2 linked regions of the Sus scrofa genome follow. Each later gene encodes a partner of the first gene's protein in a complex. Links are inferred from orthologs where the notes say so. Each region holds a gene or a part of one and is shown in the gene's direction. Other genes may lie near its edges. The genes, in order: NEMF and TCF25.

Region 1 (3,812 bases):
TTTTCATATCTTGCTTTAGAAAGTCTGTGCTTTGGTACTGAAGTGTTGAGGTATTGTTATTACAGGAGAACCGATTCCCCCTCGGACCTTGACTGAAGCTGGCACAATGGCACTTTGCTACAGTGCTGCTTGGGATGCACGAGTTATCACTAGTGCTTGGTGGGTGTACCATCATCAGGTAATAAGGGCTGTGGTCCTTTTTCTTAATTTAAGAGAGACTGTATTCCAGATTTTGAGGATATAGAATTGAACAAGGCAGACAAAGCACTTTGATGGAGTTGACAGTTTGGTGGTGAAGAAAAATACATACATAATGGCTGGTAACAAGTGCTATAAAGTTTTTTTTAAGCAGAGTAAGGGGATAGAGGAGTGAATAGGGGCTACCATTTGAATATAGTGTCAAGAAAGACCTTCCTGAGAAGGTAAGATTTGAGCAGAGACCTAAATGGAGAGAGTGATCCATGCAGTTATATGGGATAAACTGTTCCAGTTACAACTGTCATACTGACCTAAAAGGTCTTTCTCCTGTTCCTCTCTGTTAGAATTTTCTGAATTCTCGTTGGCCCTTCCTATAAAGTAGGTATATCCAGTGGGCTTTTCTATATACTTTGTTTTAGTAATTGTCCATTAATCTTTTTTTGATGATATTTCATTCCATATGTGACTTCACATTGCTATTCATTTCACATTTTCAAGAATTATAATTGATAATATACTTTTAAAAGGTCTTAAAAGCTATACAGCAAGATAAAAAGAATTCGATACCATTATCCTCTCTTAGATTGTTTTGTTTTATATGTGTTTATTATTTTCTGTTTTGCTGTGATATTTTGTTCTTAGGAAATAAATACCACTTCTGGGATTATATTTTCTGCCCCAGTACTATTATAAAAGTGGCTTTAATTCTTCTATGAATAAGTTTTTTTAGTGTACTTTTTTTTTTTGGTCTTTTTTAGAGCTGAACCTGTGGCATATGGAAGTACCCAGACTAGGGGTTGAACTGGAGCTGCAGTTGCTGGCCTACACCACAGCCACAGCAACACAGGATCTGAGCTGCATCTTCACCCTCCCCCACAGCTCAGAGCAATGCTGGATCTTTAACCCACTGAACAGGGTCAGCGATCGAACCCGAGTGAGTCCTCATGGATACCAGTCGGGTTCGTTACCACTGAGCCACAATGGAAACTCCTTTAGTGTACTTTTAATCCATCATATAACTATTACTGGTAAGGATATTCTCAGATTTGGGTGTTTCACAGATGTATAACATTTTTTTAATTTGTGGAACTACATTGCTCACTTCCTATATTGCCAAATTAAAAGGATTTTAATAAATATAGTAAATATAGGGGTTTTTTTGTTTTTTTTTTTTGTTTTTTTTTTTTTTGGTTTTATCTTTTTGCCATTTCTTGGGCCACTCCCGCAGCATATGGAGGTTCCCAGGCTAGGGATCAAATCGGAGCTGTAGCTGCCAGCCTACGCCAGAGCCACAGCAACGCAGGATCTGAGCTGCGTCTGCGACCTACACCACAGCTCATGGCAACGCCGGATCGATAACCCACTGAGCAAGGGCAGGGATTGAACCTGCAACCTCATGGTTCCTAGTCGGATTCGTTAACTACTGCGCCACGACGGGAACTCTGTAAATATAGTTTTATATCTTAATGTTAAACTTCCTAAACTATCCTTATTTTTCTTATTATGTCTTTCACTAAACGAAATGTGGATCAGTTGTGGCTGTAGTCCATGGCATTTGAAAATGATTGACTAGTGTATCCTTCTTTTCTTTGTTACTTCCAAAGATATCTGCCATTGAGGAGAGATCTATCCCTTCAGTGTCAATAATTTTTGCTAAATTATAAACCTTTCAGGACATAGTGCTCTTTACTTCAGTATGACTTTACTTTCTTAAATGAAAATTTAAAAACTGTATTTAAGAGTATAATGTATTATTGTGTTCCTCAGGTGTCTAAAACAGCACCTACTGGAGAATATTTGACAACAGGAAGCTTCATGATAAGAGGTAATGACTGGCCACTAGATTATGGAGACAGGTGTGAGGATCATCTCAGAAGAGAAACTGATTATTTTGATTTCATATGTGAAATGTGTTATTAAATATGGAACATTTTGTCTTGGTGTGGCAGATTTAGCATTTGACATGTCATCTCCCCATATATTTTTATTAATGACAGTGTGTTTTCACATAGTTTAAATTTATAGGTAAGAAAGTATAGCATGATCTTTTTTTCTAAAACAGGTTATTTAGGGTCTGACTAACCTAGAAGATGAGAGCAAGCATTCATATTTCTTCTTAATTCCTATTCTTATACATAATGCCAACTTCTGTATATGGGAAATGTTCTTTCATGACAGAGAAAAGAGAATAAATGTCACATTGTACCAGATATTTTACAAGCATAATGGAAAAAATAGATTTTTAAAACATTTATGTATGTTCTCTTTTGTAGGAAAAAAGAATTTCCTTCCTCCTTCATATCTAATGATGGGGTTTAGCTTCCTTTTTAAGGTACTCTTCCGTTTCTTTGTTTTTTGTTTTTTTTTTTTCTGATTTTCATTAGTCTTACCTAAAGTTCCACCAATGAAAATACCTATTTTCATAGGTAGATGAGTCTTGTGTTTGGAGACATCGGGGTGAACGAAAAGTCAGAGTGCAGGATGAAGACATGGACACCTTGCTGGGTTGCACAAGTGAACTCATATCTGAAGAAATGGAACAACTAGGTAGCTTACAGATTTTAATGAAGTAACTTATAGTGTTTTCTTTTGTCTAGTTTTGCTTCTAAATTTATCTCTTTTGGGGTAATTAAATTTTTAAAAAATCAACTTGCCATCAGCTTTATTGAATTTTTGATTTAGAAATGTTATCCTAGTGAATTATAAAGTGTCAATTGGATCTGTAACTAATACTTGAATACATGCTGATATTGTGAAACTTCAGTATTAAATGGATAATACATTAATGTGTTTAACAGAGATACCCAGAGACTTGGGAATGTGTGAATGAGCACATTTTGGTTTAGGATCCATAAGTGTTACAAAGATGAGTCTATAACAAGTACAATTTCTCACGAAAATTTAGCTTGATTCAATAGTATATTTGCTTCAAGTAGAGACCATCTATGGTTGCTAGAATAAATTAATCTACCTCCCTAGAGGAACTAGGGAATGCATGCCCTCTAAAAATTGTTTTTACATCTCCTAGGGTCATTCCTTTTTAGGGATAATATTTCATTTTTTTCACTTACAGCTACTATTGTACATGCTTTTTTTTTTCTAATTTTCACCATGTTCCTAACATATATACATGTGTATATACATGTATGTGTGTGTGTGTGTGTGTGTGTGTGTGTGTGTGTGTATTTATTTATTTATTTATTTTTGCCTTTTAGGGCCACACCTGTGGCACATGTAAGTTCCTAGTCTAAGGGTCGAATTGGAGCTGTAGCTGCCGGCTTATGCAACAGCAGTGTGGGACCTGAGCCATGTCTAACCTACACCGTAGCAGATGGCCACACTGGATCCTTAACCCCCTGAACAAGGCCAGGGATAGAACCTGCATCCTCATGCTTATGAGTTGGATTTGCTTCTGCTGTACCACAATGGGAACTCCCTATTTATGTTACTTTTTATTGAATTCTCACAACCATCCTTGTCAGATGGTTGGTGGCATCTTATTATATAGATGAGGTAACTAGACCGTATTATCACTCCTAGATAATGTTCCTTTTGTAAAAGTGTGAACCATTGCTTTACTTGCTTTATCTCATTTCAGTTCTCATGTGCAAATT
Region 2 (4,328 bases), on another chromosome or scaffold:
AGACAGTGTTCAGAGCTGCCTGTTCGGGTAAGGTACTGCTCGAAGCCTCATGGCCACCGACCCACAGGAGCCAGGCAGGAGCAGTTCTGCGTGGGATGGCCGGCCCACGTTCCCAGCACAGGCGAGGCAACATGCCTGCATAAGCTGTTCGCTCCGGGGGCCAGCGATGACACAAGATCTAGTGGACATGGCTGGCCCTGCATGCTCGGAATTCTCTGGAGGGCAGTGCCCCGGAGGTCCTGTCTGAGCTGAGCCCAACTCTCAGTAGCTGGGTTGGAGGGTGGGGCAGGGGGTTGAGGCAGCAGCCTGTGCCAGTCAGTGCGATCCCAGGGCCTAGTACTTGCAGGTAACCCAACCCGCCTTGCTTCTCGGTCTCCGTCGGCAGACTTCCTCATCTGAACTCCGGAGCCACAGACACAAATGCAGATCCAGATTCTACCTGAGCCAGTTCCTTATTCTCTTAAGTCTTTATCTGTAAAAGGGGCAGGGTGGGGAGTGATATCTACCTTCCAGGAGGAGGTAAGAACTCAGTCTAGGGCCTGGCTTGGGCGCCACACTGAGTCAACCCCAGCTCAGTGCCAATTACCCACGCCAAACCACCTTAGCCTGGCACTTGCACCTCTGCAGTGCAGGGCTTCTCAAATCTGCCTGCGCATTCTACTCTCCTGAAGATAAAGAGAAAATCAATGCCAGGCCCCACCTCGGAATTTCTAGGGATTGGGCCCCTGATCATCACCGTTAGGACACACCGTAAGCGTGGCAAGCCTCCACCTCAGACCAAGGATCCCCACACCCAGTATACAGGAGAATCACCTGGGACGCAAGCAAAAAGCAGACTCCCAGGGCAGACCCGGGGTCTCCCGGGGAGGGGGTGACCCGATCCGCTGCTTGGGAAGCTCCTGCGTTTCGGAGGGCCGACTTCTCACAAGCACAGCATCGTCTGGCCGCCGGCCGTGGAGGCGACCTACCGGGACTGGGTCCCCCGGGCTTCCCGCTGCAGCCCGAGCCTCCCCACCTCGACAGCACCACCTCGCCGCCTAGAGCAGAGGCCTGAGGATCTGAGCCTGCGCGCCCCCGGTTCGCCCCGCCCGGTCCCGATGTGCGTCGCGGGCGCGCCTCCAGAACAGGAAACAGAGGCCGGCGGACCCGCCCATTCTCGCGAGAACTCGTCCGGAAGCGTACGCACCTTCTTTGATGATACCGACGACTGGGCGGGACTTCGGGAGAGCGGCACCGCGCAGACGCGACGCGCCAGCCTCGCGCCACCGCGCTGTAAGTGCGCAGGCGCGCCGGCCGCTCTCTTTTCTGCTCTTCCTTCTGCCGGTCTCCAGACGTCAGCGGCTGTTGGGTCCTATGTCGCGCCGGGCCCTCCGGAGGCTGAGGGGGGAACAGCGCGGCCAGGAGCCCCTTGGGCCCGGCGCCCTGCAGTTTGTCCTCCATGATGACGATGATGCAGAAGAAGAATGCCCACAGCAGGGGCCAGGTGGCCGGCGTGCCCGGGGCACAGGGAAGGAGGGCGTCCGCGTCAACAACCGGTTCGAGCTGGTGAGCAGCAGGGCTACCGGGGCTGGGGGCAGCGGGTGGGGGCGGCCTGCGAGGTGGCGGGTCCGTGACGTCACGGGGCGGGGCGGCGGGGTCGGAGCTGCAGTGGGGAGGGCGGGGCCAAGGGGGTGGGCGGTGGCCTGAGCCCACGGGGCGGTGCTACGTTGGGTTTGGGCTGCGGTGAGGGGCGGGGCCATAGCGTCCATGGGCGGGGTTAGTGGGTCCCCGCTGCGGCGGAGTGGGTGTGGCCGGCTCTGGGGGCGGGACCGCAGCGCGGTGGGCGGGGTCTCGGGGCTCCAACCTGGATTTCAGGGTTAAGTGCCTCCGAAGCCGAGTCATCGCAGGGCCTTCACGAACGTTCTCATCTTTTCCACACACCCCAGGGCTCATTGTCTGGCTCTGGGTCATCTCTGCGTCCCCCCCGGCAGGTGTCTGGCCCAGAGAAACGACACAGTAGATGGGAATTAAGTAACAACAACCGGGGTCTCCTTGTCGCCGGCCTCATTCTCTACTTTTGCACGTCTGTGCGGAGCGCCTGCTGCCCTGACCGCCCTGTGCAGCAGGGATGCCTGTTCCGCTGGCCTTATGTCCCCAGCACCTCGTGCCCACCCACGTAGGGACTCCACAGCTGTTGCTGCGTGTTTGAAGGCGTAGCAGTAGTTTTGAAGACCATAGAGCAACCAGCCATGCTTGTCAGCTCCTTCTTGGTCTGGCTACTGCTCCCAACTTTACCGAAAGTTGCCAAGTTACGGGCCCCTCCTGAGACAGTGGGGCGCGCGGGCTGCCAGTCTGGGCGTTGGGTGTAGAAATTGCTGCTCCTGTTCCTCTTGGGTAAGAGCCTGACCTTGTCGTTCTGGTGAAGGGGGGACTCCGTTGTTCTTCGGGTCCTCCTGACTCTTCGTTCGCCTCCTCGGAGCCTTCTTGCTTGCCCGTTTCTTGTCACCTCTTTCTTTTTAACTTTTGTATCATGGGAAGTTTCAGATATACACAGAGACGTACGGGTAACCCTCAGAGGTGCCCCTCAGCCTCCACAGTTGTTTTCCCAGCGCTTCCATCCCATCCTGCATCCTTAAGTTTTCTGTCGACTTTGGTTTTTTTTTTTTTTAATTAATTAATTTATTTATTTATTTTATTTATTTTTTTGCCCGTTCCGGGGCTGCTCCCACAGCATATGGAGGTTCCCAGGTTAGGGGTCCAGTCGGAGCTGTAGCCGCCGGCCTATACCACAGCCACGCAGGATCTGAGCCGCGTCTGCGACCTACACCACAGCTCACGGCAACACCGGATCCTTAACCTACTGAGCAAGGCCAGGGATTGAACCCGCAACCTCATGGTTCCTAGTCGGATTCATTAACCACTGCGCCATGACAGGAACTCCTTCTGTTGCTGTTCTGACCTCTGAAAGCACCGCCAGCTCCCTTCTTCCTTCCATCCCTCTGTGCACAGGGTGTGATGGGCTCGTGCTCCAGTCGGCTGTGTCCTGGACCTCCTGTCAGGGCTGTTTTCCCCTTATTCCAGATCCTCCAGGTTTTGTGTCAAATAGCCGTCACTGGAGGACATTTACGCGCGCAGGCTCTGCTGCTCTGTCTTGTTCGTCAGTCGGGCAGGTCATTGTCCCCATTGTACAAGCGCGACAGCAAGTGCCACCTGCAGTGACACCTGCTGCTCGATGGGAAGTGGTGCTCTTACCCACACCACGCTCCTTGTCTCCGAAGCAAAGTTCATGTTCCTGCTCAAGAAGCAAGGATGGTGAACGGACAGGGGCACAGAAGTCTGAGATAAATGAGTCAGAAGAACAGCCAGGTGCTTGGGTGTGAGGAAGAGGAGGGGTGGTCGTGGGGCTGCCGGAGACCAGTCAGCTCAGCGCGTCGCTCCTGCCTTCGGCTGCGGCCTCCGTGTCTCCAGCACAGGCCTCCTTCCCCATCGCCGACTCACACCCATCTCCTCGGTGCGTCTAAACTCGCACCGCCCTCTCCACCTCCTCCTCCTTCCCCGTCTGTGCAGGCGTCTCCACTCTTTCTGTCGCCACAGCCAGCAGCCCAGAGGGCACCCCACTCTTTCTCCCTCCCTCACACCCCACCTGCACACCCTTGTCAGGTCCTGGGTGGCTTCAGGCTGCGGTACCTGCAGTGTGACCGTTGCCGCTGGCGGGGTCGTGCTCACCAGTCCTGCTCATCCTCTCGTTCCTCTGCAACTGTCCGGACGCAGCGGCCGCGGGGACCCTGCGACGCGCACGTCTGCTCTCAGCCCTCCTCCCTCAGGACCCCCGGCGGTGTGGGGGCCAGGTTGGCCCACTCATCGCTCTCCAGTCTTGTTTGCTCTGCTCCAGCCACGCTGGGCACCCCCATGCTGTCCCCTCTCCCTGGACCAGCTCTGTTCGTGGTCGCTCCTGTCCTCGGGTCTCAGGCACCCTTCCTGCTGATTTGAAATGAGTCACACGCCCCCTCCCAGTTCGTCTGGTCCTTCTTCTCCCTCGTGTGCCCTGGCGCGCACCGTCAGATGACCTGCGTGCTCCCGGAGCTCGGGCGGCTCGCCTCCCACTTCTGGGGCCTGAGCTTCGTGAGGACAGAGACGGCATCGTTCCCTAGTGTGTCCCCACCACCTAGAGCCGTGTCAGCACCCAGTAGGTGCGCAGAGATCACGGCTTGAGGCTGTGTCTCCTCCATGGCTGGACTATGAGTGTAGCACCCAGGCTCTGAAGTCAGAGGGACCCAGGCTTGAATCCCGGCTCCACCTCTTGGCTCTGAGGGCACGGTACCTGCCTGGCCCTGGCTCCCCTGTTTTTG

Evidence for each region.
Region 2: NEMF (region 1) and TCF25 share a complex: the UniProt entries of both Homo sapiens proteins name them as parts of the ribosome quality control complex. The link is inferred for Sus scrofa from reciprocal best matches to the Homo sapiens genes NEMF and TCF25.

The regions. Positions count from the first base shown.
Region 1 is NC_010443.5:179,636,724-179,640,535, reverse strand, and holds part of NEMF (nuclear export mediator factor NEMF), read left to right. Parts: intron 1-65; coding exon 66-178; intron 179-1,965; coding exon 1,966-2,023; intron 2,024-2,471; coding exon 2,472-2,530; intron 2,531-2,624; coding exon 2,625-2,745; intron 2,746-3,812. UniProt on the Homo sapiens protein: Key component of the ribosome quality control complex (RQC), a ribosome-associated complex that mediates the extraction of incompletely synthesized nascent chains from stalled ribosomes as well as their ubiquitin-mediated proteasomal degradation.
Region 2 is NC_010448.4:205,731-210,058, reverse strand, and holds the start of TCF25 (transcription factor 25), read left to right. Parts: upstream 1-1,219; 5' UTR 1,220-1,353; coding exon 1,354-1,545; intron 1,546-4,328. UniProt on the Homo sapiens protein: Component of the ribosome quality control complex (RQC), a ribosome-associated complex that mediates ubiquitination and extraction of incompletely synthesized nascent chains for proteasomal degradation.